Linked DNA regions of Lepisosteus oculatus. The protein of the gene in region 2 purifies or fractionates together with the protein of the main gene of each other region. This does not show direct contact. Links are inferred from orthologs where the notes say so. Each region holds a gene or a part of one and is shown on either strand. Other genes may lie near its edges.

The links.
Region 1: the proteins of ciao2b (region 2) and cdkal1 purify together in Homo sapiens (affinity purification with mass spectrometry; 3 studies listed by BioGRID and IntAct, with this or other methods). This does not show direct contact. The link is inferred for Lepisosteus oculatus from reciprocal best matches to the Homo sapiens genes CIAO2B and CDKAL1.
Region 3: the proteins of ciao2b (region 2) and mms19 purify together in Homo sapiens (affinity purification with western blotting; 11 studies listed by BioGRID and IntAct, counting the BioPlex papers as one, with this or other methods). This does not show direct contact. The link is inferred for Lepisosteus oculatus from reciprocal best matches to the Homo sapiens genes CIAO2B and MMS19.
Region 4: the proteins of ciao2b (region 2) and ercc2 purify together in Homo sapiens (affinity purification with western blotting; 3 studies listed by BioGRID and IntAct, with this or other methods). This does not show direct contact. The link is inferred for Lepisosteus oculatus from reciprocal best matches to the Homo sapiens genes CIAO2B and ERCC2.

What each region holds. Positions count from the first base shown.
Region 1 is NC_090705.1:12,658,488-12,666,544, reverse strand, and holds the start of cdkal1 (threonylcarbamoyladenosine tRNA methylthiotransferase), read right to left. Parts: upstream 3,335-8,057; 5' UTR 3,169-3,334; intron 941-3,168; 5' UTR 938-940; coding exon 780-937; intron 1-779. UniProt on the Homo sapiens protein: Catalyzes the methylthiolation of N6-threonylcarbamoyladenosine (t(6)A), leading to the formation of 2-methylthio-N6-threonylcarbamoyladenosine (ms(2)t(6)A) at position 37 in tRNAs that read codons beginning with adenine.
Region 2 is NC_090715.1:9,175,412-9,183,199, forward strand, and holds ciao2b (cytosolic iron-sulfur assembly component 2B), read right to left. Parts: upstream 3,033-7,788; 5' UTR 2,902-3,032; coding exon 2,773-2,901; intron 2,658-2,772; coding exon 2,580-2,657; intron 2,306-2,579; coding exon 2,180-2,305; intron 1,901-2,179; coding exon 1,855-1,900; intron 1,376-1,854; coding exon 1,278-1,375; 3' UTR 885-1,277; downstream 1-884.
Region 3 is NC_090699.1:16,768,908-16,777,191, reverse strand, and holds the start of mms19 (MMS19 nucleotide excision repair protein homolog), read left to right. Parts: upstream 1-5,028; 5' UTR 5,029-5,055; coding exon 5,056-5,146; intron 5,147-6,162; coding exon 6,163-6,211; intron 6,212-6,686; coding exon 6,687-6,787; intron 6,788-7,487; coding exon 7,488-7,573; intron 7,574-7,689; coding exon 7,690-7,764; intron 7,765-8,181; coding exon 8,182-8,284. Other genes in the region: ubtd1b (ubiquitin domain-containing protein 1), read right to left, coding at 652-724. UniProt on the Homo sapiens protein: Key component of the cytosolic iron-sulfur protein assembly (CIA) complex, a multiprotein complex that mediates the incorporation of iron-sulfur cluster into apoproteins specifically involved in DNA metabolism and genomic integrity.
Region 4 is NC_090698.1:5,271,273-5,279,215, forward strand, and holds the start of ercc2 (general transcription and DNA repair factor IIH helicase subunit XPD), read right to left. Parts: upstream 3,072-7,943; 5' UTR 2,869-3,071; coding exon 2,864-2,868; intron 2,775-2,863; coding exon 2,675-2,774; intron 2,237-2,674; coding exon 2,159-2,236; intron 2,018-2,158; coding exon 1,955-2,017; intron 1,859-1,954; coding exon 1,745-1,858; intron 1,645-1,744; coding exon 1,528-1,644; intron 72-1,527; coding exon 1-71. Other genes in the region: cdc42 effector protein 2, read right to left, coding at 7,516-7,943. UniProt on the Homo sapiens protein: ATP-dependent 5'-3' DNA helicase. Component of the general transcription and DNA repair factor IIH (TFIIH) core complex, not absolutely essential for minimal transcription in vitro.

The DNA.
Region 1 (8,057 bases), on a different chromosome or scaffold from region 2:
TAACTTGCTTACAAATGCTTCCACTTTACAACACAGAAAATAAGAATACCTTCAACACCAATGTAAGAACTGTGTCAAGTCACCAAATATTTTATAAGACAAATGCAAGTAAAAGACAGTGGCGTGACGAGTAATTATAGTATTTCAGTCAGATTATTCATTATTAGTATAACATAGTGGATGGTGGATAATGAACTCTGTAATCAGGTATTTTGAAAAGTAGACTCAGTTTGGATACTTCAATGAAAACAATACCAACAGCTTTAAGTCTCTGCCTGTTTCTGTGGCTTCCCAATTGATTTAAGTTGTCATTTAAAAAAAAAAACTGTTGATTCACAATTGCCTAACACATTATTTTTATTCCTATAATGCAATTCTTAAGTTTGTCTCTTTTTGTATCCTTCACATACGTGGCTTATTTAACAATAATGGAAGATTCTTTCTAAACTGTGATTTAGTTTTTTTTTCTCCACCTTTCTGACAAGTTTGTTTTTGTTTATTGGCATCAGAAGGACTTACTTTTTTGCAGACCCAGCAAGCCTCTACCTCTAGCAGCAATAATCACAATTTTGTAAAACTATACAAAAATGAATTTAAGTGTTTTAGAATCCATATTAATAACCCTGGCATATTTTCATATTTTAAGAGTTTTTTTAGCATGTTGACATGATACAAACTTGGTACAGTTACAGATGTAGTACATGCATAGAGCTGTCTTCTTACCCTCTCTGATAGGTTTCATTCATTCAGAAAACAAATTCCTTTTTCATCAACCTTACCTGTCAACAAGTAGATCTTCGGTATTTTGCTGCTGATTTCTCTTTCTGGATCTTGGCACAATGTTCTTCCTCGCAAACTGTCGATCGTGAGGCTTGGGATCGTGTGCCGATACCATATCTTCAATGTCATCCACCAGTGAATCACAAGCAGCCGGCATTGTCTTGAAAGAAAATTTAGCAGATCTCTTTAGGAAGACTAATATGGAGTTCAGTATCTAATTATTCCTAATTATCCTGGAAGGGGGTTTATAGGAGCTAGAGAAAGTGACTTCTGTTCTTCTGCTATAAGCCTATACTATGAGTCAGCCACAAACCTCATGCATGCTATGAGTGGCATACTCATTAAAAGTAATTAATGCTGAAGAACTAAACTAAAAAACACTTTGATTGACTGCTCTGTCAATCTCTCAGTTATGCTATCCAATGTAAGATCTTTGACATAAAAAGAAAAACAGTTCAATAGCAGTCTTATTTACTACATTACTTTTAGCGGGGCCTATCATATTTTGCAAGAGAGCTTGCAATGCATGTCACTGATCATGGCTTTCATACTTTAGTGGAAGGTCAAATATTTGGCACAAAATGGAGGTCTGTAAAGAGTAAGGTTAGAGGTTCACGCTTGTTAGGCTTCTTGAAGGCATGAATACGGATTTTTTCAACATACTGGGCAAAGTTCTAAAATAAGAACGGATCTGTAAAAATCACTAAGTATCAATTGGATCACACAATGGTAAATTTTCATTGTCACCGATTGTCACTTTTGTGCACTCAATGCAATCAAATTCCGTTTGTCAGAAAAAGGTCAAAACCATCCAGAACTAGCTTTGTGACATATTTGTCACTGTCAAAAGTTTCAAACATATCTTACATATACAGTTTTTTTTGGTCATTAAAAATCCCAGGGCGTTTCTCGAAAAGAGTGTAACCCCCGGCGTCCTGGCCAAATTCCCCATTGGCCCTTACCAATCATGGCCTCCTAATAATCCCCATCTATGAATTGGCTTCATTACTCTGCTCTCCTCCCCACTGATAGCTGATGTGTGGTGAGCACTCTGGCGCACTATGGCTGCCGTCGCATCATCCAGGTGGATGCTGCACATTGGTGGTGGTGGAGGGGAGTTCCCATTACCTGTAAAGCGCTTTGAGTGGAGTGTCCAGTAAAGCGCTATATAAGTGTAAGCAATTATTATTATTATTATTATTATTATTATTACTTGTTCCTTTGCAGCCTACGCATGGTGACGCAGCTACCCACCTGATCTACTATCATTTGCTATCGACCGCAACAACAGTACTGGCTTATAATTTAACACCAGGTTATATAAATCCCATTCTAGATAAGAAATGAAGCAGAGAAAAAAACATTCTTGAATATATTCCAGGGAATCAAGTCAAAGATGCAACATTGCCTCTAAAGCAAAGATGTCTAAACCTGCATCTGGAGGGCTGATGCCTCTGCAGGTTTTCAATCCTTTAACGACTTCATTCAGGACTGTTGCCTGAAATGTAACCAACTGGACTTTGGTATATGGAAAGAAAAACACTCACTGTGGGGTTTGATACATTATAATTTCCACCTGTGTGTGTTCATGGATCAAATATTAAGAACTGTTTAGCCAGAAATAAGATCAACTAAGTTAGGGAAAGGCTGTCTTGAAGCTCTGTATGTTGTAGATGCTGTTGAAACTATTTTACCAAAAATCTAAAGAATCAAGAGCAATTAAAGTCAGCAATTAGAACTAGAGATCTAAAACTCAAACTTAATGTCTTTTCATATCTTGACAGTTGCCATTTGAATGTCAAGAAGTAAAGCCTACCATTAACTAACCTTTACAGTTTTCCCTTGCAACATATTTCCATTAATAGCTTATTTAAATATTATGTTACTGATGCATTCAAGAAGCACTAGTGCTGTTTAATCAATGCAAAATATTTAACTTTTAATTTTATACATTTCTAAATTCAACCACGAATGGTGAGACAACATTACTTAAAGCCAATAAAAAACATTATAGTGCATTTTGTAAATGCAATAAAACATTTTGAAAACTGTGCGACTCTATTATATGACTAACTTTAAATCGCTAAATAAAGATTATATGATGAAGACAACCTCGTTTACGGGATTACACATAAATTATTAGGATGAAAGACTGCCAGTAGTTGTCTGTAATTGTGATACACGTGTTCTGGCCAAAAAAATAAAGAGAAAGAATAAACTAAACAACATAAAAAAGTTAAAACTGTCGAATCCCCTCTTTGAAAAGACAAAAAGTACAATTTGTGAAAAACACTGTGATTTCCAACATTTGAAAATACTCAAAGAGTTTGCTGCAAAATCAAACCAGTACACACGTGTTATTATTTATCTATAAAATATAATGCTTACCGTAAATATGATCGTTTCCAAATCTAGGAAAATATAAGTTTTTTCAACAATTCCGACGCAAACCAGTGCTTTATCTTCAGAAATTGTCACACTTTGTTAATTTTCACTCATCTTATTCGCACTTGTTTTCAAAAGGACTCCGCCATGATGGATTTCCCCTTTGACCCTTATCTACGGAACCTGAGAGAAGACAAACATCCAAAACCGAAAATCAAAATTTCGAATTACTTTCATTAATGTTATATTGACACGAATAATCTATTTATCGACGTATCATATATCTTTAAAATACCACACGCTTGCATAAAATATGGCATTAAAGAATAATCATATTGATGTAATCAAATTAAAATATTAATGTCATAAAGATTTGGTAAAAAGTCCAGTATGAAGTTTTTGTTTCAGATAAATGATCATGAATTACATGCAGCGTAGTCATGGTAGTAGTTTTTGTATTATATTTACTTTTAAAATGTTACATACTTGTAATCATTTTAGGTATCATCTTTACATTACATCCATGGATATTTGCTACCAAAATGAGCGGTCCAGGGACTATCAACGCAGTCTCATTTATGTTAAAAATAGTAACGAAAACGGACGTGCAGTACAGCACAGCAGATATTTTAAATACATAACGAGACATTTCAATTTAGATCAAATCAGATTGAGAGACAGCTATAGTTTTAACCTATACATATTTTGTACAATTTTTGAGGAGGCTCAAAATGTGAATTTGTTAAATTTACATGCATGAAGAAACAAGAACTGGACAGATTACAGGACCATTTTCAAATAAGGAGACTGAGACAACGTCATTTGTCATGTTGTACCCTTCGTTCAATTTCACAGTAAATTAATTGTCCCGGGTGATAATATACACGCTTCCTACACTTTCATAATTACTGACGTAATGTCAGTCTATATCTTTATTTGGACCCCTAAAACATTGAATTCCACTTCGAAAAAAAAAAATCTTTGGTACAATTCCATCTTCATCAACTAGCACGAGAAATAAGGCACTGAGGTGGTAATTGGAGCTCCAACACTAATGACACCTGATCCTCTTTTTGAAGCTGAGAAGAGAGATTTCTTACTGTCCTGTCGCTAACCGTGCACAGAACAAATCAAATGTGAAAAAGTATTTTAGTCATGTAAAACTACTTTGAAACAGCGAATGCAAGATATATCACAAACTTGATTGTAATCCACCCTCACAAAACTGAGTGTATTCATGCACTTTATGGATTTAAAACAGATTACTGTATAAAAAAAGGAAAATGCGATCGCGAGTATGCTCTAAGTAAGCACAGGGTCGAATTCTTGCTAAGAAGCAGAACGGAAGAGTAAAACATTAATTTCAGCATGGAATTTTGGGCACCTAAATTGATTAAGTTAAGCCACAGTAATGGGTTTGAATACTTGTATAATCGTAACTTTTCCATTTTCTTTAACAAGAATTACATTTTGTTTCCTTTTGTGTGGAGTATGTTGTGATTAAACCAAGTTAATTTCTACTTCGAAGCGTCATGTCGACAGCTATAAAGCAGCAAGATAAAGTACCATGCATGGTATTGTAGGTCAGGAACATTGAGATACATTAAAATGAAAGACGTGAAGTCTGGACTTTTGAAAACCACGGGCAAAAGCTAACATCCAGATCTCTACATTTCCAAGCAATGCCTGAGTCTCATTCTGTCTTTAAGCCATTTTAAATTCAGCCACAAACTGGATGAAGTTCTATTGGCTCTGTGGCTAAGGATCTGCGCCTGTGACTGGAAGGTTACCAGTTCAAATACCGTGGCCGGCAGAGGAATCCTACTCCGTTGGGCCCCTGAGCAAGGCCCTTAACCCCAACTGCTCCAGGGGTGCCGTACAATGGCAGACCCTGCGCTCTGACCCCAAGCTTCTCTCCCTGTCTGTGTGTCTGTGTCTCCATGGAGAAAACCTGGGGTATGTGAAAAGACAAATTCCTAATGCAAGAAATTGTATAGGGCTAATAAAGAAACATTATTATTACATTTCTAACCCTCACCTGGTTTATTCCTTACCGTGAACACAGTGCGCATTTAATACTGAGAGTGACAACTAAAAACAAATGAAACTTTTGCCAGGTCAGTTCATTTTTTTTTAGATGGGCAAGTTTTCTTGTGGTTCCATATTGATAATTAAAAGCCTTTTCCATGATGATTAACATTACTGACAGTGCTGTAAATTAATGAATATTTTAATGTGCAATTCATTAACATGGTTTTAATTGAAGGACAACTATTTAAAAGTTTTAGATCTTTTATTGCTCTTTTTCAAGTTTTGGTGAATTTCAAATCTTCACATACAAAAAAAATCACAATGGCATCAACTGGAAAGAAGAAAATGAACTATTCAAAAGAAATTTGTTTACAGAAGCAATATCAAAGCTTTTCAATGAACATAAAATACAAAGCTAGATTCCTTTAAAACATTTTACATTTTTACATATTTTCACACTTCTCTGAAAAAAAATCCAACCTCATTCATTGAGCACACAAGTACTTTCATGCACACATACAAAAAAACTTCGTTTTAAAAGCTTTAAATAATTCCTCATCTTATGTACAATTCCACTTACCTAGAAAAAAAAAAAACTTCCAGGCTTGCCCAGTCACTCATTCTGGCAGTATTTTAAATTGTGGGGAACCATTCAGTAAAACAATGTACAGTACATTTATTGCAAACTTAATTGTAAAGAGGCACATATTTTTAAATTATATAAAAGAAAACTGTTACACAGTTTAGCATGCAAGAATATCAACAGTAGCTTCACTATTCAGAACACTTCCAGAAATGCGTACCTGCTTAAGTTTTATACTAAAACCTCAATTGCAGACAGTCAGCTAGGGCACAACCAGTGGTACCAAAAACTCTTGCAGCCCTTTGAACTGAAATGGAGTAGAAGTGTACCAAATATCAATAGGGTGAAACATACAAACCATTGCATTCAAGGGTGATGCGTTTATCACCTTCCCCACATATAATCTTTGCTCATACATATCAGCTGAAACCAAAAACCAGAAAAGATTATCACATTTACAAACCATGGAAGCCATGTATAAATATATAAATATGAATTTATGCTGAACAATCTCCAAAACAGCAAATGAACCATGGGTTATCATCCTCTTCTCAATTATAGCACAGGGTTTCCTGTGTAGGTTTATACTTCAGTTACCAGTTAATTATCCGTGGAAATGATCACTTAAGGTTTAAGAACTGGAGAATGACACTTGAGAATGAAAGGCTTAAGGGTTAGCAAATGTGTACATTCAACTCCAAAGATGACATCAAAACATCATATATAGATCTGCATACATCTGGGTTTTGTTTCAAAATTGAATAGAATAAAAGGATTTTAGTAACCGATTTCATGTTTAAACCCACATACAATGATTACAACGTGCATGGAAATATGAACAGAAAGCAGCTAGCCCGGGTCATAGAACTTGGGATATTACAAGGTCAATATCGTCACACCTCTTACACACAATACATAAGTACATTTTTAATAACATGTCAGATAGGTCATCTGTGCTGTGCATTCACGTGCCCCTGCCACAGAGGAGCAGCTCTACGTTCTCACAGTGAGTTAATTCAGATATAATTATAAGAATGTAAGGAACAAAAATATAAAGCTCTGCTTTTGGCAAAGGCACAAATGTGCGATTAAAGTAATGCCACTGCACATAGTGTGACCTAACAACGTCATTGGATGATGAATCTGAAATTCTAGAAAATTAAAAAAGCTCTTATTTGGCACCACTAGGGGGCTCTTGCCCAAAGCTGTTCTAAACCTGAAAGATGATACATTATCAGATTTGTTTGTTCTTGCCATGCAGTTAAAGACCCCAATAGTGTTAAACAGGATTTACTCTATATTGCAAAAACAGCCCTCTCCTCTGGGATTTGTATAGATCAGCACATTTGGAACAGATAGGAACACTATCAAATTCCAACCCGCATCTCACGTTTTCGCACTTTTGCAAAATACCGTACTCTTCATAATGAAACTTTGACAAAATTCTTAGCCAAGGAAAAGAAAACCACCAGACTAGGTGGAAAGGTGGCATTTTCAAAATGTAGACAATTAAGATCATTTTCTTTCAGCAAGTTAAATGTAAATGCTTCCACTTTGGAAATTCATTTTTTGGTAGTTTTAATGTTTAAATTTAGTTTATGCAAAAGACTACACCCAACAATTTTATTTTCTAATATAATGCAAAATTAACTCAGTTTTGCAATCTTGAAAAATCAAAAAGAAAAAAACAGTTTTAGTGGTTAAAAGCAATGTTTTCTGCGACATGCAACATAACTTAAAACAATAACTGTTTATGATGTCCCTTTAAAAAGAGCAGAAAGCAGGCTGAAGCATTTTTAATCTGCTGTCACAACACCCTAAATACAGACTTATGGACCTAAATGCTATGCTAAGGTGAATACTCAAATTGTAATAAAAATACAATTCACTACAAAACAAAGGTTCAGAGGTAGTCTACATAAATGCACAATTGTGCATAAATTAAGTTATACTACAGTTTTAAATCCTCCCAGAATGGCTTTAAAAGAAAATAAAATCTTTAAAATCTACCCTGCAAAAAGGAACAATGTCACACAAGGATTACAATATCAATGCTATACTAATAAAATAGTATAGTATTTATACCTTTAAGGCATTTTCTTTCCTAAAATAAACCTTATAACAATCCATTTTATTAAAACACTCAGTTGATGCATGGCTTCTTGAAACTCCAGAAAAAGTATTCCTGATTCTCTACTCAAATTTTCCAAAATTGACTGGGTATTTTTAGAAACAAAAATTCAAAACAGCACAAAGGGTGCACAATTCGTTTACAACA
Region 2 (7,788 bases):
AAAAGGAAACCTTTATATCACATCTGGAACCTGAAAAATACATTTCAACATTTTCTTATGAATAAAAGTTAGCATGCATTTAAAAGTTTAGATATTTTATCACTAAACTGGAATACTTTAAAAAGTGCTACTTGGAGAATATAAGTTATTATAGTTATCTGAAGATACAAATTGTAATCATTGGTGCCTTTGATCAGTAAGCTTTCATTTTCTGTAATTATAACCATTTCTAATTATACCATAAATAAATCATTTGGTTCTGAAAGGTTGGGGGAAATAATGAATGAATCCATTGGAAGGTCACCTCCAGACCTTGTGGGCGGGAGTCCTGCAGATTCCACAGTGCTGGGAGTTGTGAACTGGCAGCTACTGTCGTTAGAAAAGTAGGCAATCAAAAACGTAATTAAATTAAAGATTAAGATCAAAGGTGGAATAAAAATCATAGGACTCTCTGGAACACGAGGATTAGTTTAGTTTTATATACATGTAATGTTAAAAAAAATGTCATGATTACATAGCCTTCTTATCAGCTTAAGCAGACTAATATTTTCAAACAAACGAATAATTTATGATTTTTTTTAAAAGGACATTATTGGTTTTTCTAAGTATTTTACAAAAATGTACAAATTTCATTCTGGTCTGGTTGTTACTGCAGTTTTCTTTCCTCAGCACTGGAAAAGGAGCTGCCGAGCTCTAATGCAGGAGCATGAAGTAAACTGAATGTTGTGTGGACTGGCTCTGAGAGACTATCTCCACTGGAACACTTCACCTCCCAGCCCACTGTCTAACATCAAACACAATCCTAAAATATGCCTGGTTGCTTTCAAAGAAGACTTTTTTTTCCAGTTTCAATAGTTTGAAGGAAATATAAAAAAGAAACAACATTACAGAATAAGCAATTTATTAAACAACTAATATTTCATTATTCTTTATGCAACATTATTACATTTCAAATAAAAGCACTGATATAGCCGCCATCCATCCTTATATAAAAGGGTAAAGTAATTTCTGTTAAAACATATTTAATATAAAATATATTTAATGAAGAGGACCTGTGGCAAACTTGCAAGAAAAGATTAACTTACAAAAACATCATTCTTGATGTTGACTCTAGGAGTTGCACAGCAATGCAAACATGAATCATTTCATTCCCGTGCAACAAAAATACAAGAGCAATTATCCAACATTTAATTAAATAATTCAGGTGTAACAAATTTTACAAAGAAGTAGGAAATTAGCAGCTGAACTTGTCCTGTGGTTCTGAAGATCTGTTCTGGTTAAACTCTAGCAGACAGGCACTGATTCACCACTTCCAGCAGATGAGAGTTCTCCAGAGCTGCAGCTACTCTTTCTTTATCTGCAAGCTGTTTGTTAACTGTTGAGAGAAAATATAAAGCGAATAAGATTAAGATTAAACACACAACGAAATAAAACTTGACAGAGGTATCCACTTATGTTCTTCTGACAGTTTTGAACTGGTGGAAGACACAGATGTTTTGGACTGAGCTGAATGAACAGTAATAATTACAATATCACATCACAATGAACAGGAGGAGGAAAATCTGTCAGCTATTTGCAAATGTATTTGAAACCACAGCTGCCTAGCTGAATGGCACTGTGCAGTGTACAGTAGTGGTTAGCACTCTGATCTTGTAACTGTAAGGTTATGGTTTCAAATGCTGGGTTGGACATCTTCATTGTGCCCTTGAGCACAGTACTTCCATCAGATTGCTTCAGTGAAATACCCAGCTTGACCGAGCTGGGGACAGAACCATCAGGTTTTGGATCATTTAAAAAACCTAAATATTTAAACGAAATAAAAATATATTAGAAAGAATCATACAAAGCTCTTACCTGCTTGTTCAGAGGTATGGGTACCAGGTGTGATGTGCACATCGATCTTAATAGAGAAAAATACATTTACACAATCAGGTGAACAGTAGCACTTCCTATACAGCTAACGCCCAACCACCTCTAGTAATTAAATCATTAATAAGAAAATCGGTGGCGAGCTCTTCATTCAGGACTTGAAAACGCTGATAGAAACACACATATTAAAACTTCACCTAAAGAAAGCGGTAGAAGACCATCCTGCAAGATGAGGCAGTCGACATAAGACGTACATGTGAGTGTTGGATGAATAGTATATTAACTCAAACGGGCCTTTTACATGACTCACCTTGAACCTGTCGGGCAGCGATCTAAGTAGCTTGACTTTGATGGACAGGCCAATCAAAGTCGCCATGCTGCAGTGAGGAATGGTAGGAGTGAACTCCACAGACACTGTGCTCTCATTGTCGTTCACCTGTGGGGTAAAGGAAGTAGCCCTTTTACATCCATCCACTACACAACCTCTTCATTAACAGTAGATTAAGTTTCGAAGGCATTCGTCTTCCATCTTTCTTTGTTACAGTGAGAAATGAATGCTCTTGCGAGTAACTGTACTTGATACTCTTACCAGCTGGCTTACATTATAACGATTTAAAAAATCGTGCAATGCACAGTCCGTACTAATGTAGCAGATTGTTTTGTCTGGCGGATAGGAGCACAAGCAAATGTAAAAGAGCAGAGGAACCCACATTGACTCTCACTAGCTCCACAACGTTTAACTCTTCCAGGGACAGCGGATGTTCGGGGTCATTAATCGACCTGATGAGATGTTAGAAAGAAATCAAGGAGAAAACACGGCAACTCTGAAACGACGGCACAATGGAATGCTCTGTCACAAGCTGAAATGAAGCGCACGAATGCATTAATAAAATTAACAAGGATATCGAAAATTTCTCTGTCGTCAATAGGATCAGCAACTTCTTCATCCTCTTCCTCCGCCGTCAGCAGCCTCTCCCCTGATCGCTGGAAGATCAGAGGGTTCGCATTTTCTAACCGAGTCCCTCCGGACATCTGTGAAATTCTATTTTCTGTTCTCTTAAAAGAAACTGCTACTTTCCAGACCAGCTTGAAAACATTCCTTTCCTCAGGTTTTTTTGTGTGGCTTTGACCTGTACCGGCTGTAGATTGGTTGCAGAGCTACGGTGGCTCAAAGGCGACAAAACGTATTGATGTACGCGAAATACTAGACTCCCCTTGGGTGGGAAATTGCCAGTATTGCGTCGGCTGCGCAGTTTAAATGATAATTTCGGAATGGCCTGCACGTCTTTAATTCCAATTCTTCCTGCTTTCAAAACTTTATTAATATTGGTGCATTGTATGTTTAACTCATATACAGTATTACGTTCTGAGTTTTGCTCCGGATCCTAATTAGGTAAAAAAAAACTTGTTGAGTGTTGTTTTTTAGCATAATTTGTTACGACACTATGATATTCGCAAAACCAATAAACCTATAACCAATTGAAAAGTTGGGTTGGGTTTTACATAAATCTCAAATATCTAAATATTGGCTTTTCTTTTATTACTGACGTCTTGCTCTGCATGTTGCACTGAATAACCTGAAGACATCCAGTGCACGAGTTCTTGTTTTTTTCTAGTCTATTTTTGTACAGTAACTGTAAAGAGATTAAGAGATGTTGATAAACGTAATTGGAACAGAAACTCGTATTTTAATCCGATTACAAAGAGGCTTGTTAATTGAATTACTTCATTCCCCATCTTAAACCAAAGTGTAAGTGGTACATATCACAGTCCAATTGCTGGCTGCTGTGTCTAAGAAACAAAAATGAAGAAATCTAGTTTATAGATTATTGATTTTTACCGACATCTGCTGGTGGTACTGTGTTTGAGTTTAGGCATACTGAAAAATGTCTGGTTTTAGTCAAAATAATCATTAACAACCCTAGAAATATAGTATTCTGATCATAAAATTGTGTTCTGCTTTTAGCCTGAGCTTTTAGAATGTATTGACAGCATAAAGCAAGTTTTCAAAACATTCAATAACATTGCTATTTTATGCTTCTGCGTGCTTCAGGAAAGTTATTTCTATGGTTTTGAAAATGTCCTGAGTATGTTGGATTGGTGTCTACTATGCTCAGACACAGACAGGAATAAAAAAATAGATAATGGGAGACTTTGTCCACAATCAAAACAGCCCTGAAATATTTCCTGGACACAGGGGGTGCAAGACAAGATTACACACTGGACACCACATCTGTCCATCACAGACACAAACACACACTCAAGGACAATTTAGAAACCCCAGTAAACTACCTAACATTTTATTGGTGGACAGGAGAAAAATATAGCACCCGAAAAAAGGCTATGCTGACACTGGGCAAACAAGCCACAAACAAACCAACACTCCTGTCCAGAACAAAACCCCAGAACCAGGACAAACTGAGCAGCAGCAACAACCATGCCATTTGTCTTCATCTTTCACTTTTAATACCTTAAAAATACTCATGCATTGTATGTCTGACTTACATACAGTCAGGGTGTATCAGGTGTATCAAGTGTCAAGGTTTTAAAATCTTTGTTTTCTGTTATGTTTAATGTACAGTTCCTAAACTTACAGAACAAATGCAGAAGCTCAGAGTTGTTGGGGTTTCTACACACGTTATAATGCCATGGTGTTATAATGGGTTTTTAAATGTTAGGAAATGCTGTATGCAGCAAAGGGAGATAGTTCTGTGATCAGCCAACGTGGCTCTTAACCCAAAGACACAGGGCATGATGATTCAGACAGAGGCAGATTTTGATTATTATAGAGAATCAAAAACAACGGAATCGAGTTGGATCATGATGAAGTGAGTGAATCCCATTAACAAATAAATAAATAAAATTAGATGGATATAGCCAAAATAAAAAAAACAGTCTATACTAAAATAATTCTTATTTTGTTCTGTGTACAATTTACTTTTAGATTATTTGTGTAAAAATAATCTGGGATAAAGTTGATAAAGTTGAAGAAGGCAGTACTTGCTTCTATGTTGGGCACTAAATTACAACAAATTAAAAAACATAATATACCTGCTGATTCTTTTTTATTTTGGGGCTTTCTTTCAAAAGTAAGATTCTAAAGTGTAGTAAGAAGTTGATGTGTTAAAGAAACAGCTAGAGCAACCATTTCACACCATTTTGGATAGTGAATGATCTATGGAGATATGGAGTTTTGTTCATGGATCAGACAAGAGTGGAATCATGTACAGTATATACAGTATGGCTCGAGATACTGTATGTGTGGACAAAGAGGCATAGTTTGATATATGCTCTAGACAAAAAGGCAAGAGTGACTCACTCACAATGTGTGATGTAAGCCCAGCAGAAAAGTACTGAAAAGGCAGAATTAGGAAATATCCATCAGAGAGCTGGTGAAGGAGTCCTTTCACATTACAGTTCCTAGCCAGAAAACAAGTATCAAAAACAATTCAAAGGAAATGGTAAATACGGCCATTTTTTGCTTGGACTTGTCTGTAAATTAGACATCTCACTTCACTTTCACATTCCACAAAAGATCCTTCATAGTTGCAATTGCCCAAGACCAGAGATTGAAGTAATACAAATGCACATAAGGGAAAAAGAGACATACCAGTGTTCTGTGTTCAGCAGATGTGCCACTGATCCCAAAGATTTTAGACACGATGATTCAGGCAGAGGCAGGTTTTGTATTCTGGGAATAAAAAAAAGTAGAATCAAGTTTGGTCTTGATGATGGGGGTGTATCTTCTTAAATTCTTGTGAACTTGAACAACAGACACGTTTTTCATTTCAGACTACTGTAAAATGGAAACCTTACTGCAGATCTTTACTTCCTTTTATATCTTGGAACCACTTTGATTCTATTAATGTAATCAAATAAACGACAAGCACAAGGTTATAATCAAAGTGTGTTTCTTCATTAATACTGGGTTTCACAGGGGCACCACTGTGATACCACTGCTTCCTTACAGTTCTGGGGTCACAGGATCCAGAGTGATGTACATTATGTGTGGAGTTTGCATCTTCTCCCTGGGTATATGTGGGTTTTCCTTTGGTCTCCCTAAAATATACTGTTTCAGTTTGATTGTCTAACCTAAACTGTTCCTTTTGCCAGGGGCCTGTGATAGATTGGCATGCCATCCAGTGTGCCAGCAGTCATGTGCTGCCAGTCTTGCCTTGCCCCCTCTGCTTGTGGGATAGGTTCCAGGTTGCCACAGCTCTCACCAGGATGAGAGGCTTTCTAATGGAGGGATGCAGGAATTTTATAAACCAACACCGAAGTAGTACTAGCAATAGGGAATTCAGTTAATTATAAAGGAAATGTTCAAAGGAAAGTACCAGGTGTTTAATTTTCATATGTTTAATTTTCCATCCATCCAATTTTCTAAACTTTTCTCCCAGGTCAGGCTCACAGGCACAAGGCCAATTTTGCCAGAAACCAAAGTGGGTGGAAACTGGAAATCCCAGAGGAAACCAACATGAACATGGGGAGAACATACAAACGTCACGTAGATAGAACCCCAGGACAGGAACTGAAAATAGAATTTAACTGCGAGGCAGTAATGCTAACCACTGGGCCATCATGTAGCCCTTTTACATTTAATTTTATATTTATTACTATTTGTGTTACTATTTTCTCTTTATCTGAAGTTTTCTATTCCTAAACTAAAACTATTTGCATGTGTTATTGTCTGTTTCATCTTCCAATAAGGATCTGTTTGCAAGCAAGAAGTTTTTTCTGGGACTTGGACTTGGATGTAGTTTTTAAACCTCGTGGTTTGGAAAAGCACCAAGTGCAGGAATGAAAACAAGTGTCTCACTGAAAAAGCACTGATGGATGTTCTAGAAAGGTAAACATTCCACATTGTGATCAGACTTGTATTTAACACATTCTTCTCTTTGATAGAAGCCAAGAACCTTTCTGTTGCCGGTATTGATGACAGGTAAATGGAGATATTAAAAAGGCCAAGAGATATAAAAGAATATCTCAGTAGAGGCTACAATTATTAGTAAACTGTTCTTTCAGTACTGCAACAGTAAAAGAACCATGAAGGATAAAGTCAAATGTGTTTGGGTCATAATGGTAAACTTCAAGATAATAAAATGGAAATGGCTGATATAAAAAATGAGTATTTCATTCATGTTCAAGCTGCAAACAACAGTATTACAAGCAAGTATCAGACCACAGAAAACTCTATTAATATAAAATGGAAAATGAGTTAGAAGGAGCTACTTATGAAAAAGACTTAAATGTTTATTTTGACACTTTCATTTACTTCATTTATTCCAGATAATGTCAAACAAAATGCTAAATATAGAGTTTAAAATGGGGAATTTAAACTAAGAGATTAGTTGTATTAAAATAGCACAATGCACCTCATTTAGTATATTGTGTACAATTTCAGTCACAAAGTTATAAAAAGATATTGCTGCTCTGAGATCAGTCCAGAGAAGAGTAACCAGATGTCAGACCGGATCTCAAGGGAATATTCTACACTGACAGGCTGAAGGAACTGAATCTTTTGAACAGAGGGACTACAAGCCTGACTCCCTGGCTCCTTTCCTGAAATGGCTTGGCGAGACCATTGGATCAATTAGCTAAAAACTGCTAAATGGTTCAGATGAGCAAAATGTTCCCCTCACATTTGTAACCTATACTTTGTTCTTATCTGACCCCATTTGTCTTGAGCTCAGGTTGGAAAGATTACTGCTTGTTTGTTTGTGGTATTCCTGAATACTATACAGTATGTATTTGTTTGTTATTTTACTTTGAAGAAGGTTAGTGTAGTGCTATTGCTCGTTTCATAATTCTGAAAAAACACCTACATTTCAAAATACATACGTTGTACATAGGTAGGTAGTCAGGAAAGAAAATGAAATTTCCATATGAAAACTTTAAATCATTGCTGTGGGTTTAATC
Region 3 (8,284 bases), on a different chromosome or scaffold from region 2:
TGTGCTGTTCTCTGGCTGTAGCACAGTGGTGCTCTGAATGGGGAAGGAGCGTCAGAGGATCTGTGACCCGGCCGGGGCAAAGCATCAGGAAGTCGCACAGAGGGCCTGGAGGAACCACTGGTCACACACGGATCCCCTGACATCCCTGTCTCGACAGGAAAGGGATATTCTGCTTTTTGCATCGAGTGTCACACTTAGAAAACATCCAAGGCTCTGCACCCGCACCGTTGCAGTTCTCGTCTGTAAAAAGTGCTCACAAGAAACACGGCAATCCTTCAGGCTCAAAGCTGCGGATGTGTCGTGACTAACCGTGTGTTAGACTGGACCCGGATTAGAGGCGATGTAAGAACACCTCACATCCACACCAGCTAAGGGACCGGGCGTGCTTGCAAGGCATTTTTCCCCATCATTATGACTGACAAACACTTCGCTGCGTAGGTCGTGGCCTCCGAAGAGTCGACTCAAACTCCCCACTCGACGAATTTCTCTTGCGAGCAGCCTCTTTTCTAAAGCCTCGTCCCTCCGCTACACTACACTAGACGCTGGCCTCTTTTCGGCGTGGACTGCAGCCGCTCAACTTCCAACACTAAACAAAACATTCTCTCGCAGGAAGCGAAACTGATCACACGTCCCGGGCGGGGGGTGTCTTACCTCCACGCTTCCTCGCCCCGCTCCGGCCTGACCCCTGCGAGCTCCCCCGCTCTCTTCCCACGCAGCCTCCCATGACTGGTCAGTTACTCCGGACCCCCCATAAAGAGCTCCACGCCGTGGGGGAAGAAGCGTTCACGCCGACCCCTCCGGGAAGGGACGCGGCCCCTGGGTTCCCCGTGCGCGTCCGCGGGAGCACCGCGCCGCTCGAGACTCAGGCGCCGTTGTTGTCGTTTGAGCTCACGAGCATTCCGAGGCGCGAGCCGTAGCGGGGGGGCTCGGCAGGGACCCCCCCGGAGCAGGACCGGCCAAACCTTCAGCCCTCGCGAGGTCACCGGCCCCGCCGCTGCAGGAAAGAAGCACTTCGGGGGTTATTTTTAAGGAGAGGGAACGCGGCTCCCCCTCTCCCGTCTCCAGTTATTTCTGGCTCAAGAGTCCGGCGGTAACTTCACTGGCACTTCTGCGGTCCCGGCTCAGCCTGCTAAGCAAACTCGTCTCTGCTCTTGTGGCACAAAAACAACTCCACAGATATGTTGTTGTTGTTTTCTTTTTTTAAAAAAAATTCTCTCTAGACAGTTTCCCTGCCCTCCCTAATCCCCAACCTCTCCCAGGTCGCCTCGGATTGCTCCAGGTTTAAATCCCTTTCTCCTTCCTGGTGGCAGACGGCGCTAGTGCGCCTGCGCGGCCCTGCGCGGAGCTCTGGGTAGAAACCGGCCGGTGTTGGATTTCGTCTCGTGACTGGCACCGCTGTGGTGTCAGGTAACAGGAAAGGGCTGCGGGTGTTTGTGTGCGAAATATAAATAAACAGTAGCTCGGCAAGTCCTTGTCATCTGGCGTAACAAAAATAAATCCCTGTAATCGGATCAAAAAGTGGGTGTCTGATTGTGTCGTTATTGATAAGTATCGATCACCTTTTTCTAGCAGATTACATCAAATCACATGCATGAGAACAGAAATCTCATTCTCAAACAATGTTAAAAAAATATCTTATTCCCGAAAAAAACACTGTTGCCCTAGGGGTTGTTTCTCATAGCTCTCTCAGTTAACCGGATAACACGATGACAAAAATCCGGATTTTCGGTTTCACGAAGCAAGATTGAACGGTCTAAAGTTAAATAACTATAGCAACATATCCTTCATTCTTAACCTGCTGTGAGGCAGGTTAAATCAGATTTAGCCTGACTTTGTGGTTAAGAGCTTGGCTCAGCTCAGCCCCCTATGAGAAACGACATCACTTTTCTTCAGAGATCCAGTACACAGAGCTTTGCATCAAGATTAGAGATCGCAAAATCCCTTTACTGCCCGCTGATAATTTTTATCTGAAAGATACAGTTTGAATAGATAGGATATACTTTACAATCAATATCTCTTAACCACATACATTGTTAATACTGCTGGACGTAGCTGAGCGTTACAAGAAACAAACTCTCGTAGTTGAGATTATTGTGACTGGTGCATTTTTTTTTACTGTGTGGGTGATTCGGAACTCTTCAGTAAAGCGATGTGTCGTGCACCAAGGAGGCTGTCCAGGCTGATTTTTTAAAATCAGAAAATCAATTCATAGCATCAATGTACAGTTAAAAAATAAAATTCTAGCCTAAAAATATGAATATTACAAAAAACAATAAATATTATCGATCGTGTCCGATAAAAGAGGTTAAACGTGTGTGCACACAATGGGTGTTGCTATACTTAGGTGTATATTATGCACAATTTCCATCATCACATCGTTTCCTATGTTATCAGAATCCATGATGTATGGTGTCACACTGGCAACATGTACATGATTCTGTCTGAGGGTATCCTCAGCGTGCAGCACAGTATTACCACCCTTAGGAAGAGAGAGTTCTTCCCCTCCACCAGTGCTCTCTGATGACTGTCCTCCTATTCATCGCTCAACAGGGTGACAGCTCTGAAAGGCACATCATAGCCGAACATAACTCTAGTGAAACAGTGAATGCTCGGTCTGATTTTTAACATATACCTTTTTTTTCTAATTTCACTGTGGTTATTTTATTTTTCGGTTATAATTAGGTCACATTTTTACCTGGCGTAAGGCTTTCTGCAATCTGGAGGGGAATGCCTCACCTATACTACTCGATCCACACTAAAAAATGTTGGAAATGTTGAATGAAGGAACACATTCTTTATGGTGTTGACGCCGATTCCTCTTCTTCAAGTGTTACTCTGCTCAAGCGTCTTCTTGTCGGATAAAATTGGAAGACGTTGTAAGAGCATTCCGCCACACCGTAGTGTACAGGACCCCAGTGCCACTGTGGATGATGTTCCTGGGTTTTGTCTTGGCCTGCTGCCAGGTCCTCCCTTTGTGCTCCAGCATTGTGCTGTGTAAATGCACAAATTAGTTCTGCACAAGAACAAAATTGTGCGATTACACCATGGCTTAAAGTGGATCTCCACTTCAGCACCATAATAATGAAAGTTAAGTAATGCCAATGCATGCATACTCACACAATTTTTATAGTTTGTTTTATCTCTTGAGCTAGTTGATTGGATTTCATAATTAACTTCCAGATTCAGTTTTGCAAGGCGACTTCTCTGGCTTTTGCAGCAGCTACAGTGTATTTCCTTGCTTTTGCAACAGATTTTATCCTCCTAGTTTTCCATAAAGAGGCATAATTCCTGGTCACTGGATTAAGATGCGCATTCTTTCGCCGTAGTTTTTGCTGGTATAAATGAAGGATTTGACGCTCATCCCTCCTGTATTGCACCTCTTAGTAATTTTCCTCCTGGAATGATGTTTCCTCAAACAATTTGGAACGTCTCTGGAAGTAGAGACAGCAGAGGCCTGGCAAGGGGCTTAAATTGAAGTTAACTGGAAAAATGAAGTCAGAGTTTACCTCGGTGAACCTTGAGTAATGCTGAAGTCGGTTATCGGGTTAATTCATCAAGGACAACTTGAGAGAACCCTGAATAAGTTCCAGCTGGGTCAAGTATCCCCCCTGGGTGGGTCAGTATGGTCCCAGTGAGCGTGTCTGTCCAGTATCAAACCGAACCCCCTAGTTAAGGCACAGGTCCCATGTGCTGTGCGTTGTTCTGTACTGACTGAGACTCTGTCCTCTGGAAGTTGAGCTGGTTAAGATTGATTACGTGATACAAATAGTAACACAATCGGAAGCTGCATTGATTTTCATTCTGCATTAACCTATTTGATCATTGCCTATCACTGGGTCTGTACGGGTAGATTACCACTAAGCAGCTGCTGTTCCTTATTGGCAGTAATTGATGTATTTTGCCAGGAGATAAGATCTGCTTCATACTTTCCCCTTTATTGCTGACAACATTCCTGGAACGATTTCAGGACAGTTCCTGATTTCTTTATTAACTGGGAAAATACTGTGGTCCGTATTTTCTCTGAAACTTCACCTATGATAGGAGAAATAAAAACAAAGAGTGCTTTAACTAAAGAGTATGCAGAGTGTGATAAATATAAAAAAAAACTCTTGGGTTCATTATTTCACATCAGGGCATAAACCCTGTAAGAAGTCTAATACTATAGTGACTGGTATTATTGCAGTAATTGCTCGTGATGTATCAGAACATGAGATTTCTTGCCATTTTGTTAAGGGAATCTTGACTGTAAATACTGACAAGATTCCAGATTACAGAACACAGAAGAAATATTGTTATATTGTATTTTATAGACACAGATACCAATTCCTAGTATTCCCTACCTATCCTTTCACCTGTACCCTTTTTCCTCTTTTACATCTCTGGTTTCCTTTTTTCTTCTCCTTCCTCACTGTTTTTATATTATTGTTGGATTTTTACAGTTTGGTTAAGTCTGTCATGCCGTAATGATTGTTCACATTTGTTCATTATTGTTTATGGTACCATGTAATATTTTTTGTTCTTCCCGAAAAACCAATAAACAAATTGAACATAGAAATCCCAGACCTACAAAACTCAGAAGATCTTCCAATCGTACTGTAAGTAGACCCAAGGGATTCTGCAGCCAGTACGTGAGCTCTAACCACAGTTTGAGGAGCGTAGACTACTTCAAATATATGTTGCTTTAAATTGTGTAAATATTTGCTTTGGTAATAATTTAATTAATTGGTCATGCCAATACAGAATTTGAATTCGTCAGTAAGTTGGGTCACACAGCATCCGCGATGCTTGTTTCTCTGGAATTGTGACATGAGGCTTCCTCAAACATTTCCTGATCATATCTGCTCAACATCTGAAGCAAACTTTCAGAGCTGCTACATTCTAATTGCTTCAAAAGCAGGAGTGCCCACTTCGCTGAGGACAGGGCAAAACTGCTCAAGAGCAACCCTGCACAGTGCCTTGGTCTTTGTCACGTGACAGTGGTGTTTCTACCCTGCCTTTCCTCGGCGACAGCTGCAGCGCATGCGCGCGAAGAGGAGTTTGACTTGTGGGTTGTGCATGATGGCCGCGAATGGAGCTGTGTTGCTGGGTTTGGTAGAGGAATTCGTATCGGGCCAGCAGGACAGCAAGGCTGCTGAGACTGCAACAGGTAACTGATGTAATCGATCTCGGTCTCGGCTCTTAGTGAGCTGTACGTTGAGCCTGCAGGCTGCAGCGACTATGGATGGGAGAGTCCGATGCCCAGAAAAGCGTGTGGCTGATATTCTGGGTATCTTTTTAAAGGAAACGTGATGTGTATGAACCTTGGTATAAGTGCACATCGAAGAGAAAGATCAGCCCTAATTGACATGGTCCTGTATTTATTGCACAACATGAAAGTCTCCAATACGCAGGCAGTACACAGTAGAAGACAGTTTGAGTAAAAACACACCCTACCGACACAAGCATGGACCGTTCTAGAATTTGCTTGCCATGGGAAAACATTTTCTCACGTTTTTACTGGGACTGACTTTAAAACAGCGGTGCATCGCCCGGCTCTTGGGAGACTTCAGACGTCCTCTCTTTCCGGTTGTGTCGAGACAAGCGGCTCATCACGAGCAACCTGTTGGCACATGTAGCGGGTGCAGGAGCCCATCCTGGCGTAGAACTGGCGCTCTGAAGGTGTATGTAATTAATTTAAACTAAGGATACTAAGAGTAGGTATCCGCAGTGGCTCAGTAAAGGAGCCCTTATTCGGGAACTTAATTCGAACAGCCTATAGGACGGTTCCTGTTAGATGTATTCAGACCCGTTGAAATCCAAGTGTCTTCCACAGACATGCCCCTGTGAAGAACTGCCCGCCCAGGTGCCTTGGATCAGGGACAGCGGTCGAGTACTGTGCGCTCCTCGATATTGTCAAGCTGCATAGCTCTCTCCACTCCTGGCTCAGAAATTCGTCTCGCTCTAACGCTGGAGCAAAGTCTTTATAAACACGAGCCATACCTTGGAGATCTGATGCCTACATGTTTTAAGACCTGTGAACGTCATTGTCCACATCAACTATCCACACTTGTATGCATTCTGAGGGTGCTGTGCAAGGGGATCTATCCTTCTGTTGCTCTGGACAACCTGATGTGCTCCGTTCTGACCTTACAGTGTTAACCTCTTTTATTTTTGTTTCCTAAGGAGTGAAAACCGGACTGTTTACCATATTGGAACTGGTGGAGGCCTTGGGGTAAAGTAATCTCTTACCTAATCCGTTCCATCTTCATACGCTATTTACAGTGTTAGCATAATTACGGTGTAAACACAATGTCCGTTTCCAGCCATTCTAATTAGTCCTGTCTGTCAATCCTGTAGGATCAACTGTTTTGTTTTTTTAGGGATTTATTTTTCAAAACATGCCCTGCACTGAATAACCTTATAATTGTTATTTTTCGTTAGACTGTCAAAAGAGTTAGGTGGCAAAGAAAAAAACAGGCTAGAAGAAGGCTGTAGAGAGGCTGATTCTTCCGGAGGCGGGTAGAAGCTGTGTAGAGTGGAGTGTCACTGGAGTTGCTGGTTTGAATCCACACCGAGCGGCACAGAGGCTCTGTGTCCGAAAGCGCCCTGCAGAGAATTGCTGTGAGCGGCTCGCCGGGGACGCAGGCTGCGTGACCGTCTCCTCCTTCCGCCAGGAGCGAGCTGACCTGTCTGTGTGCTCTTCGCAGCTGGAGCCTGACGAGCTGCGAGCCCCGGGTTCGGGCGCGGGGGGTGCAGCTGCTCTCGTGGGTGCTGCAGGAGTGCTGCGGCAGCCTCTCGGAGAAGGAGGGTGAGTTGGCGCTGGTCAGCGCGCCGGGGCGGGGGGGGCGCCACGCCCGCGCTGGCGCTGCGGAGCAGACAGAGGTGTGTGTCTGTGTGTGTGTCTGTGTGTGTGTCTGTGTGTGTGTCTGTGTGTGTGTCTGTCTGTGTGTCTGTCTGTGTGTCTGTCTGTGTGTCTGTCTGTGTGTCTGTGTGTCTGTGTGTCTGTGTGTCTGTGTGTCTGTGTGTCTGTGTGTCTGTCTGTCTGTGTGTCTGTCTGTCTGTCTGTCTGTCTGTCTGTCTGTCTGTCTGTCTGTCTGTCTGTCTGTCTGTCTGTCTGTCTGTCTGTCTGTGTGTGTGTGTGTGTGTGTTGAGTTTTGGTCGGATCAAGCCAGCAACACCGTCAGAATACCGTGAAGAAAAGAGAGGGCGGTGGGTTTCACGTTCACGCTGTTCCTTCTGTGAGTGGATCCAGCGCTCTTTACGTAGAAAACACTGCGCTAATAGAAGTAGAATCTGTCTGATCTGAAGAAAGACCTAGAATGGAATATTATACAACATCAGCAGTGTTGGATTAGAGCTTTCTCAGTAGGAACATGGTTCTCTGATGTCTGATCAATACTGTACATTAAATCAGTGTAACACTTATGTACCCTGGCTAGTGTCCTTATTGATCTCTGGCTTGTATTTGCATTTTGCTTGGTTTCTACCACTGTCCTTGTATTTTGCAGCTGAAGTCCTGACAGTCTTTTACGAAAACAGACTGAAAGATCATTATGTCATAACGCCGCACGTGTTACAAGGCATTAAAGCGCTGGTAGGTGTGCAGTGTGGACGGGGCATATTCTACCTTTGCTAAGCTTTTCCTTCTGGTTTCGCGTCCGGCTCTCTCACCCGCTCACTCTCACTCCGGACTCTCCGTGTTTTTAAAAGACTCAGAGCCCTGCACTGCCCCCTGGTCTGGCTGTGTCCATCCTGAAGTCTCTCTTCCAGGACATCCATGTACAGGTAGCTGCTTCACACAGACAGTGCTGTTGGTCAGTGTCTGCCTTGTGCTGTATATACTGTAAATAGACAGCAGGTAAATGTTTACAGTTTGTTTAGGTCATCTTGCAGTCTAGTTTATTAATGGGAATAGTAACTTTCATAGATGTAGCTGTATAATATGTGTAGGAGGGTAATTTTTATAAACGCCAATGACTCGATGGAAGAAAGTTCAGATTTAGTATTTTGAAGGCTTGTCTTCTGTTAAAAAGAAAAAAATATATACCAGTCATGTTCTGATCGATATCAGGCTTCGGCAAGAGCTTCAGTATACAAGCAGCTTGAGCAGTTTCACCCTGGTTGTCTCTGTGGTGTTTGTGTCAGGGCTGCTAGTGCTTATCGGAGGTGAGACCTGGGCTCAGTCTGTGTCTGTGTCCCCAGTCCCTGATGCAGGCGGAGCGCTCCTGTGTCTACAGCATCCTGTTGAACCTGATGGAGTCGCGAGAGGAAGGTGAAGGTCCATCGGGGGGGAGGCAGAGGATGA
Region 4 (7,943 bases), on a different chromosome or scaffold from region 2:
AAGGCCTTCAGGTCATCCAGGTTATAGATGCCCGCGGGAATGGGCACCTGTCGGCCAAGGGCATCAAACTCCTGAGGACGCACAGAAGGGAGGCAGGAAGTTAGTCCCCTCTTGCGTTCTAATTCAACCCGACTGTCCCCTTTTCAGTCTCAGTCACTTCCTGGACCGTCAGAGTGCAGGGACAGGAGAGCAGCATGGGGGTGATCTGGGAACAGGGACATTACTTTATGGAAATAGGGGGTGAAGGGTGAAAGCCAGAGTTCCTAGAATCCAATGAATCCAGCATGTCTTTGGACTGTGGGAGGAAGCTGGAGTGCCTGAAGGAAACCCAAACGCACACAGGGAGAACATACAAAATCCATGCAGATAGCACTCCAGGTCCGGAATTGACCCTACCAGAATCACAGTTATTGTCCGACAGCAATATGCAGCGGTATTCAGAACTTTGGCAGCTAGCACTCTTTGCTTCCTAGGGTCAGTGGGTGAATGCAAGCATGGAGAATCCTCCAACACTGTCTATATCCCTATCCCAGTGGGACAGATATCTGTCCGTATTTCGATCCGGATCTCCCCGTGCACCAGCAGGGATGAACTTCCAGAGAGTGCCAAGCCAGCCCTGTGAGGCTGGGATCCTGCCCTCCACCATCCAAGTGCAATGTCCTCCTTCAGTCTTCTCCTTGAGACATGAAACATCAAACTAAAGAGTACACCACCATCTCCACACAGAATTTGGCTGAGCAATTCTTTAGCAGTCCATGGCAGCAATAAGTACTGAACTTTCAGGTTTAGCTTGGGCACTCATTTTACATCATTTTCACTCCTATTCACCTGAGAGCCCAGATCCAGACGCTACATGCAAAAAAAAAGCACTATATAACAAAATGCTGGCAGCTGCGAGTAGTTATTGTCTTTCTCATGGCTGAACTCTGTGTATCACTAAGTGTGTGGAAACCTGGGCTTGTGGAACATTAAATGATTGATGTCCCACAAACCCAGATCTTGAACGGGGACGATCACTGGGCCATGGACGCCGAGAACTTGGAGTTTTTCTTTTCCTCTTCCTTCATGGTCAGCTGCTCACACTTGAAGAAGGCTCCACGGCCGAAATGTTGTGTTTTCTTTCTTCTCTTCTTCTTTTTTTCAGCATGGAATAAACCTCTTACTTGTTCCTTTGCTGCGATATTGTCAACTGCTGCACAAATCGGCTCTGTGGCCAACTGTGGAGAAACTGTGGAGGCTGCTTCGCTCTCCTTGGGCATTTGTCGCCACCACAAGGCGCGTGCGGCCTTCAGGCATTAAAACAAACCACCACCTGCGTCAAACGCCTTCCCTGGACTCCTGCAGGGTGAACAGGACAGGCCAGCTGCCGTAGCCCAGACGCGTAGTTCTGCCCCGCGTCCCCGTGAGAGCAGGAGATCTTCGACTTCCTCCTGTTAACAAACCCGTTGAAAATAACCCCCCCCCCAGCTCAGTACTGTTCTCTACTTCTCCCCACCTGAGCCTGAGCACCCCCCCCAGCCCGCTCACCTCGTAGAAGCGGCAGGAAGGCAGGGAGGGGTTGCCGTGGCGCTGGGCGCGGATGTACGAGGCCGTCAGGCTGTGGCACTTCCCATCCACCTCCTTCCCGAATCGCAGCGAGCTCACCTGGGCGGGACAGGGAGGAGGAGAGTCAGGGGAGCGGGACGGGCAGGGGGCAGGGGGGGCAGGCGGCAGGGGGCAGGGGCCAGGGGCCAGGCGTCCTGACCTCAGGGTGCACACAGAGGTTTTTGCGGGAAGACAGGGCCAAGGCCAGGAAGTTGCTCTGTCTGCCCGTCTCCTTGGCGTAGAACTCCATCAGCTTCCTCAGCTCCTCGACCACCTGAGACACGGGGGGAGAGCCGGGCACAGGGTGAGGAAAAGCGCAGCTTAAAACCCGGCGGCCGTTTCCAAAAAATCTGAATCCACTCCGACTCACCTTCTCGATCTCAGGCACAGTGCGGGAGCAGTAGATCAGCTTGGAGACCTCCAGGGGATAGGTCTGAGGAGCAGGAAGAGGGATCACACACACAGGCGTGTCGACCACAAACCAGCAAAGTTAACACAAGCGGCACACAAGAGCCAATCCGCCAGGGATCGGGCCCCAGCAGGACAGCCCTCCCAGGAGAGGGGAGACACTCACCTGCTGGTAGGCGACGATCAGCGACAGCAGGGAGATGGTCTTGCCGGTGCCCGAGGGCATCTCCAGCACCCCGTGGCCCTACAGAGACACGAGGTCAAACACGAACATGAACACAGCTGTCCCCCGTCCTGGCCGCCAAAGCAAACCGATCCCAGCTGCACTGCAAGGGCAGTCTCGACATTCACACGCCAGAGAGCAGCGGATCCTAACTAAAGCCCACAGAAGCCGTGTATTCCACGTACAGACGCGAGGTATTCCGGTTGCTGCTTTTTCTTTAAAGACTGTGACTCCATCGGGTCCGTTTCGGTTTATGAAAATAACTTTTAAATACCGTTCGAGTGAGCCAGATTGATGGACGCGGGGATTACAGAGCGCCGATCTCCCAACACCCTCACCGCCTCCTCCAACCCAACACGCAAAAGCTGAAGCAGCCGGACGCGACCAGACAGCGGAGAGACGAGAAAGACCGGGGTGCGACGCTTGCATCCGCGCTGCAGGTACAGAAGGAGAGCTTACCTTGGCGTCGAGGGTTCTCTTCAGCTCCAGCATGTAGGAGTACTGCTCCGGGTAGATATAGTCATAGGGGAAGTAGACCAGCAAGCCATCAATATTCAGCCTGCAAAAACAAGAAGATGAAAACTTAGCGCCCCGACTCTCAAGTTACCCGACCCTTCAGCTGCGGCGAGAGACTCCAGAAGTACACACTTCATTGTTACGGCTTGCGTCCGGCGACGGGCGATTTTCTTCTTGCTGTTGTAGGCTCGACAAGCCTATCGTAATACTAGAGATAAACAAAAGATAATACTAAAGAAATTAAAAGCACGTTGATAACTCCGCTCTTGCTTTTCTGTTTATTCACGTGTGATTCCACTGTCACTGCCCAACCTATCCCCCTCGATGGACGTAATCCCTCCTAGCGCGCCCACGATTGGTCACTTAGTCTTTGGAGGAGACGCAATAGGAGTTGCTAAATGGGTGATCTCGATGTCAATCACACTTCTTCCCCGCCCCCTGGTTAGTGCGCCCCGAAATCTAGACCTGACTAATCAATACCAATATAAAAAGTTGTGTCTTGTTGCTAATATTAGACCTGAATAGTCGAGGCCAGAGAAGTCTAGCTTTCCCTGTTGGCACGGACTGAAAAATTTCCAGCCGTCTATAAAAATCCAGTTACTGAGCAAATCAACTTTGAAGTAAAACAAAAACAAGGAACATAGACCTTGTTAGAAAATCATAATAACAAATTTATTGATGTTTGTAGATTTATAATCAAACTTTATGAATTATCCGCCTATAGGTTTTAATTAGGAATATGACTTTTGTGTAAATGATTACTGCATTTTTTTATTTGGAGAACGTATGGGAACACCCTGCAAAGCTTACTAACACCAACATGTTTCTGAAACACGGCTTGCAGCTCTTCTTTAGAAAAAAAATAAAATAATTGCTTACACTTAAATAGTGCTTTTCTGGACACTCCACACAAAGTGCTTTACAGGTAATGGGGATCCCCTCCACCCCCACCAGTGTGCAGCCCCACCTGGATGATGTGACAGCAGCCATAGTGCACCAGTCCTCTCCCCACACACCAGCTCTCAGTGGGAGGAGAAGAGAGTGATGAAGCCAGTTCAGAGATGGGGATTATTAGGAGGCCATGAGTGGTAAAGTCCAGAGGGAAATTTGGCCAGGACACCGGGGTAACACCCCTATTCTTTTCGAGTAATGCCCTGGGGTTTTTAATGACCACAGAGTCAGGACCTCGGTTTTACGTCTCATCCGAAGGACAGCGCCTTTTTACAGTATAGTGTCCCCGTCACTGTACTGGGACATTAGGACCCACACAGACCACAGGGTGAGCGCCCCCTGCTGGCCCCACTAACACCTCTTCCAGCAGCAACCTTAGTTTTTCCCAGGAGTCTCCCATCCAGGTACTGACCAGGCTCACACCTGCTGAGCTTCAGTGGGCTGCCAGCTGTGAGTTGCAGAGTGATATGAAAAGATTATTAAACCAGTCACTGTCAAGCCACACTAAAACGTCTCTTTGGTTCATTTTTTTTTAGTTGAAGTCTGTTTCATTCCTAAAGCAATCAACCCTGTCTATTGTTTTAGTTTAAAGGGCCAGTTCTTCACAGAGACGGCAGAGTGGAGGGAGGGGCAGCCTGAACCACATTTCAGGCACCAGAGGAGTGTAGGAGCAGGCCTTGACCCTCGAGGTGGATCTGCTCAATAACAGGGCTGGAGGAGCTGTACAGAAGGTAAGGAGGCCAGGCGCTCCCAGCCCCGGACTCAGACGGGCAGGACACCGCGATCTCTCCTGGACCCGCTGGACGGCGGGCTTCTGGGTGTCCATCTCCCAGTGCTGAGCCAGGAATAGCGAGAGGGCCTGGCTTGAATAAGGAGACAAAACAGGGGGCAAGTGCATGTACTGCACCCTGGGTTATGCACAAGGCCAAGCTGCACCAGATCCTGATGTGTTTGTGTGTGCTCTCTTTTGTGCTTGGTGTGGCGTTAGGTGCATAGGTGCTTAGGAGTCTTCTCCTGTTGATATCACATGGTTCACTAGTGTTTGCACAGTTGGTGCTTCTGAACCAGAGCTGCGGTATCTTCTCATAATGTGAGACGTGGTTTGTGTCACAGCCAGTATCTGATCATCTCACTGATTCAAAAGATGAAGAGGGAACATAGGTAAAGAGATGTGGAAGCCAAAAAAAAAAAACAGCAAGAAAAACATACAAATTTGGAGTGACGTCTGCTTTAACATTCATATTTATTGACCTCAATACCGAGGCTAAATACATATAGAAACATTTTTTGTTTTAAAAAAGGTTGTCATTTTGTACTACAGAGACAGATGTCACACCACGCTGAGGAAGGGCAACTTCTGAAACTAGAGAAATGTTCGCTGCGACATGTTACTGACTTTAGACGCCCCGCTTGCCTTGAGCTGAAGATTTCAGAATAAATAACTGCAACAGTCACTTGCATGGTGTTCCTCTTCATGTCAATCAGAACGTAACACAAACTGCGAAATAATGTTCCATCCAGAACAGAAAATCATCGTTTCAAAAAAACATTTTTCCTTGATTGTCTCTTTCTTTTTTCCACGCATTTATTTGGACTTTCTCCTCTCCTTCATCTACCTTGCACAGTCCACAGCACAGCAGATACCTACTTCCCAGACGACAGTTTCATTTTAGTTCCCAGCAATCCATTGAAAGGCAACAGTATCCAGTCACATTCCTCCAAGCAGTCGTCTGGTCTGCATTCCGGCTGAACTCTTACACACCTCATCTTCGTCATCATCAGCATCTTCATCATGCTATTACCCACTGAGCTGAGCACATCAAACCTCTCCCCCAGTGCTTAGATCTGTGCAATTATTAGAATCCCCAGAATAGTGATGGAAAATGTATTAAACTCAAGCAGGGCCTGAAACACGTCTTAAAACATTCAGAAATCAAAACAGATTGTGAACATTAACGGAGATTTAAAAAAATGCAGAATTACAACAGAAATCATTTCTTTCCATCTGTCACCACATCCCAGTAGCAAAACTCAGTCTCAACACACAGTCCTGCCAAGAAAAAAATGAAGAAAATGAACCGGCTTCGCTTTAAGGCATAGCTTTTAGGATTATTCGGTCGTTTCAGGTTTTAAATGTGTCGATTTCGTGACCTTCAGAAAAGCAAGAGAGCTGCGCTTCTCCAGGCCGCTTCTGGTACCGACCAATTACCAGGTGTACTACCCTCTCCTTCCACTAGATGGCCGTACGAGCCAAGTGTAGTACTGCTCGGCAACCACAGTTGAACTGTTGAACTGGACCGGTGAACGGTTTGTTAAAACTATCGAAAGTCTTCCAATAAAATAAATATATATATTTATGCCAGCTTTTAGAATTTGTAAACAGTACTTCCCATCTTATCCTCTAAAGAGATAAATGCACTAAATGTCCTTATAAATTATTTTGAATAGTGATTTCAGTATATATGTCCATGCAAGATTTCTGAGTGCGTAGAATAATCACCATCTTCCTGTGTTGATTCATCGTCCAGTTATGGTCAGGTGATTGAACATTTTGATATATTTCAGAGGTGGAATAAAGACTCCCAATGCATCGCAGTATGAGCCACATCCCAGTTTTACAAAGCAAAAGCTGTAGTACTCAATCCAACAACAGAGAAACTCAGAATGTTTCATTGTGACCTTAATCTGTCTGAAACTCAACAGATAAATTGACACTTTGAAACGGATGTGTCCAATATTTGATTTTACACCCCGAAATGGATTAAAACTGCTGTGCAGTGCGAGTCATCTTTCCATGCCTCTGGAGTCACAGTTTCCTGGTCAAGGAGTAACAGACTAACACACATTTTAAACACAGGCCCACGAGATGGTGTTTTTTGTACACGTGATTCTCACATCAGTAAATCGGTTGTATTTCATGTAAAAAGACTGCTGCCATTTTCAGGCTGAAAGAAAAGGAAGGTGGAAATTCGAATAAACCAATGTGCATGAAAATAAACTCACAAAATAATTCCAAGTTTCGGTCTAGATACAGCTCAGTAGCATTGCTCAGTTTTCATTTCACGTCTTTGTTAGTTTTGTAGAAAAGGAAAATATCATTTGAGAACTTCTTGCTCACGCCTTAAGGATCTCTTTTAGATTCCTAGCAGATGACAAGTGTTTAAGATCACCTGATTCCACCACCTTCCGTCTTTTCAGTAATTTCATCCACACAGGCGCAGTCTCTGTGTCTCTCTGTCCTTCATCGCTCAAGCCCCTGGCTGTGGAGAAACAAGTAAGGTTGCATTTCGTGAGCAGGGGCAGCACCTGAAGCAGGGCAGAGTCTTTCTCAGGGCTCAATGTGCTGCCTGCCCCACGTCCTCTCACTGGCTGAAGCCGAGAAGCAGGGAGCTCGGAAGGTGGTGTGGTGTGATCAGGTGTGCGCGGTGCACCACCAGCACAGAACGGAGCAGCAGCGCGGTGTCACTTGTGCTTTTGCGAGTGCGGACGCACAGGGCTGGCTGACACCACAGGAGTTGTTTTTGTAACATTGAGGAGTATATCCGAGCGTCACAGTGGGGCTGGGTTCCGTTAAAAAGCCACCATGAGGTTTTCTCAGAGCTGCGGAGCAGACGTGTATTGGCGAGCACAAGAATATGGCAGCATATTTAAATTGTGTCCTCATCTGCCTCGAAGCCCCCCTCAGTTATATCAAATCTGTGTCACTAGTTGTGTCCTGCTCCTCTCAAACCTCTGGGGTTACGGTGGCATTTCAGGTTTTTTCTACACTATTGGTAACGCAGGTAGCTCATCATCAAGTCCATGACAAAGGAATCGGCAGCCAGGGTGAGGTGTCACAGCTCGTAGTCCCCGTCCTGCGCCTTGTACTGGTCCATGATCCTCAGCACGTCCTCCAGGATGGACGGCCCCAAGTCCAGGTCCAGCCCCAGCAGGGACTCGGAGTTGGGGACCCCGGGGGACTCGCTGCGCTCGCTCTGCAGGTCCTCGTTGCTCAGGCCCGCGTCCGAGTCGAGGCTGAGCCCCCGCCTGGCGTCCAGGGGCGGGCCGACCCCCAGCACCGAGTCCTCGGAGGACGCCTCGGAGAAGGAGCCGGAGGACGCCACCAGGCGGCCGAACGCCGGGATGGAGGCCGAGTGGCTGAGCTCGGGGTCGCTGTAGACGACGCGGGGCCCCTCGCAGCTCACGGACATGGAGCGCTGCGCCGGCGGGGTCTCCTCCAGGTGGAGGCGGGGGGGCTTGGGGGGCGCCTGCTCGGGGCTGA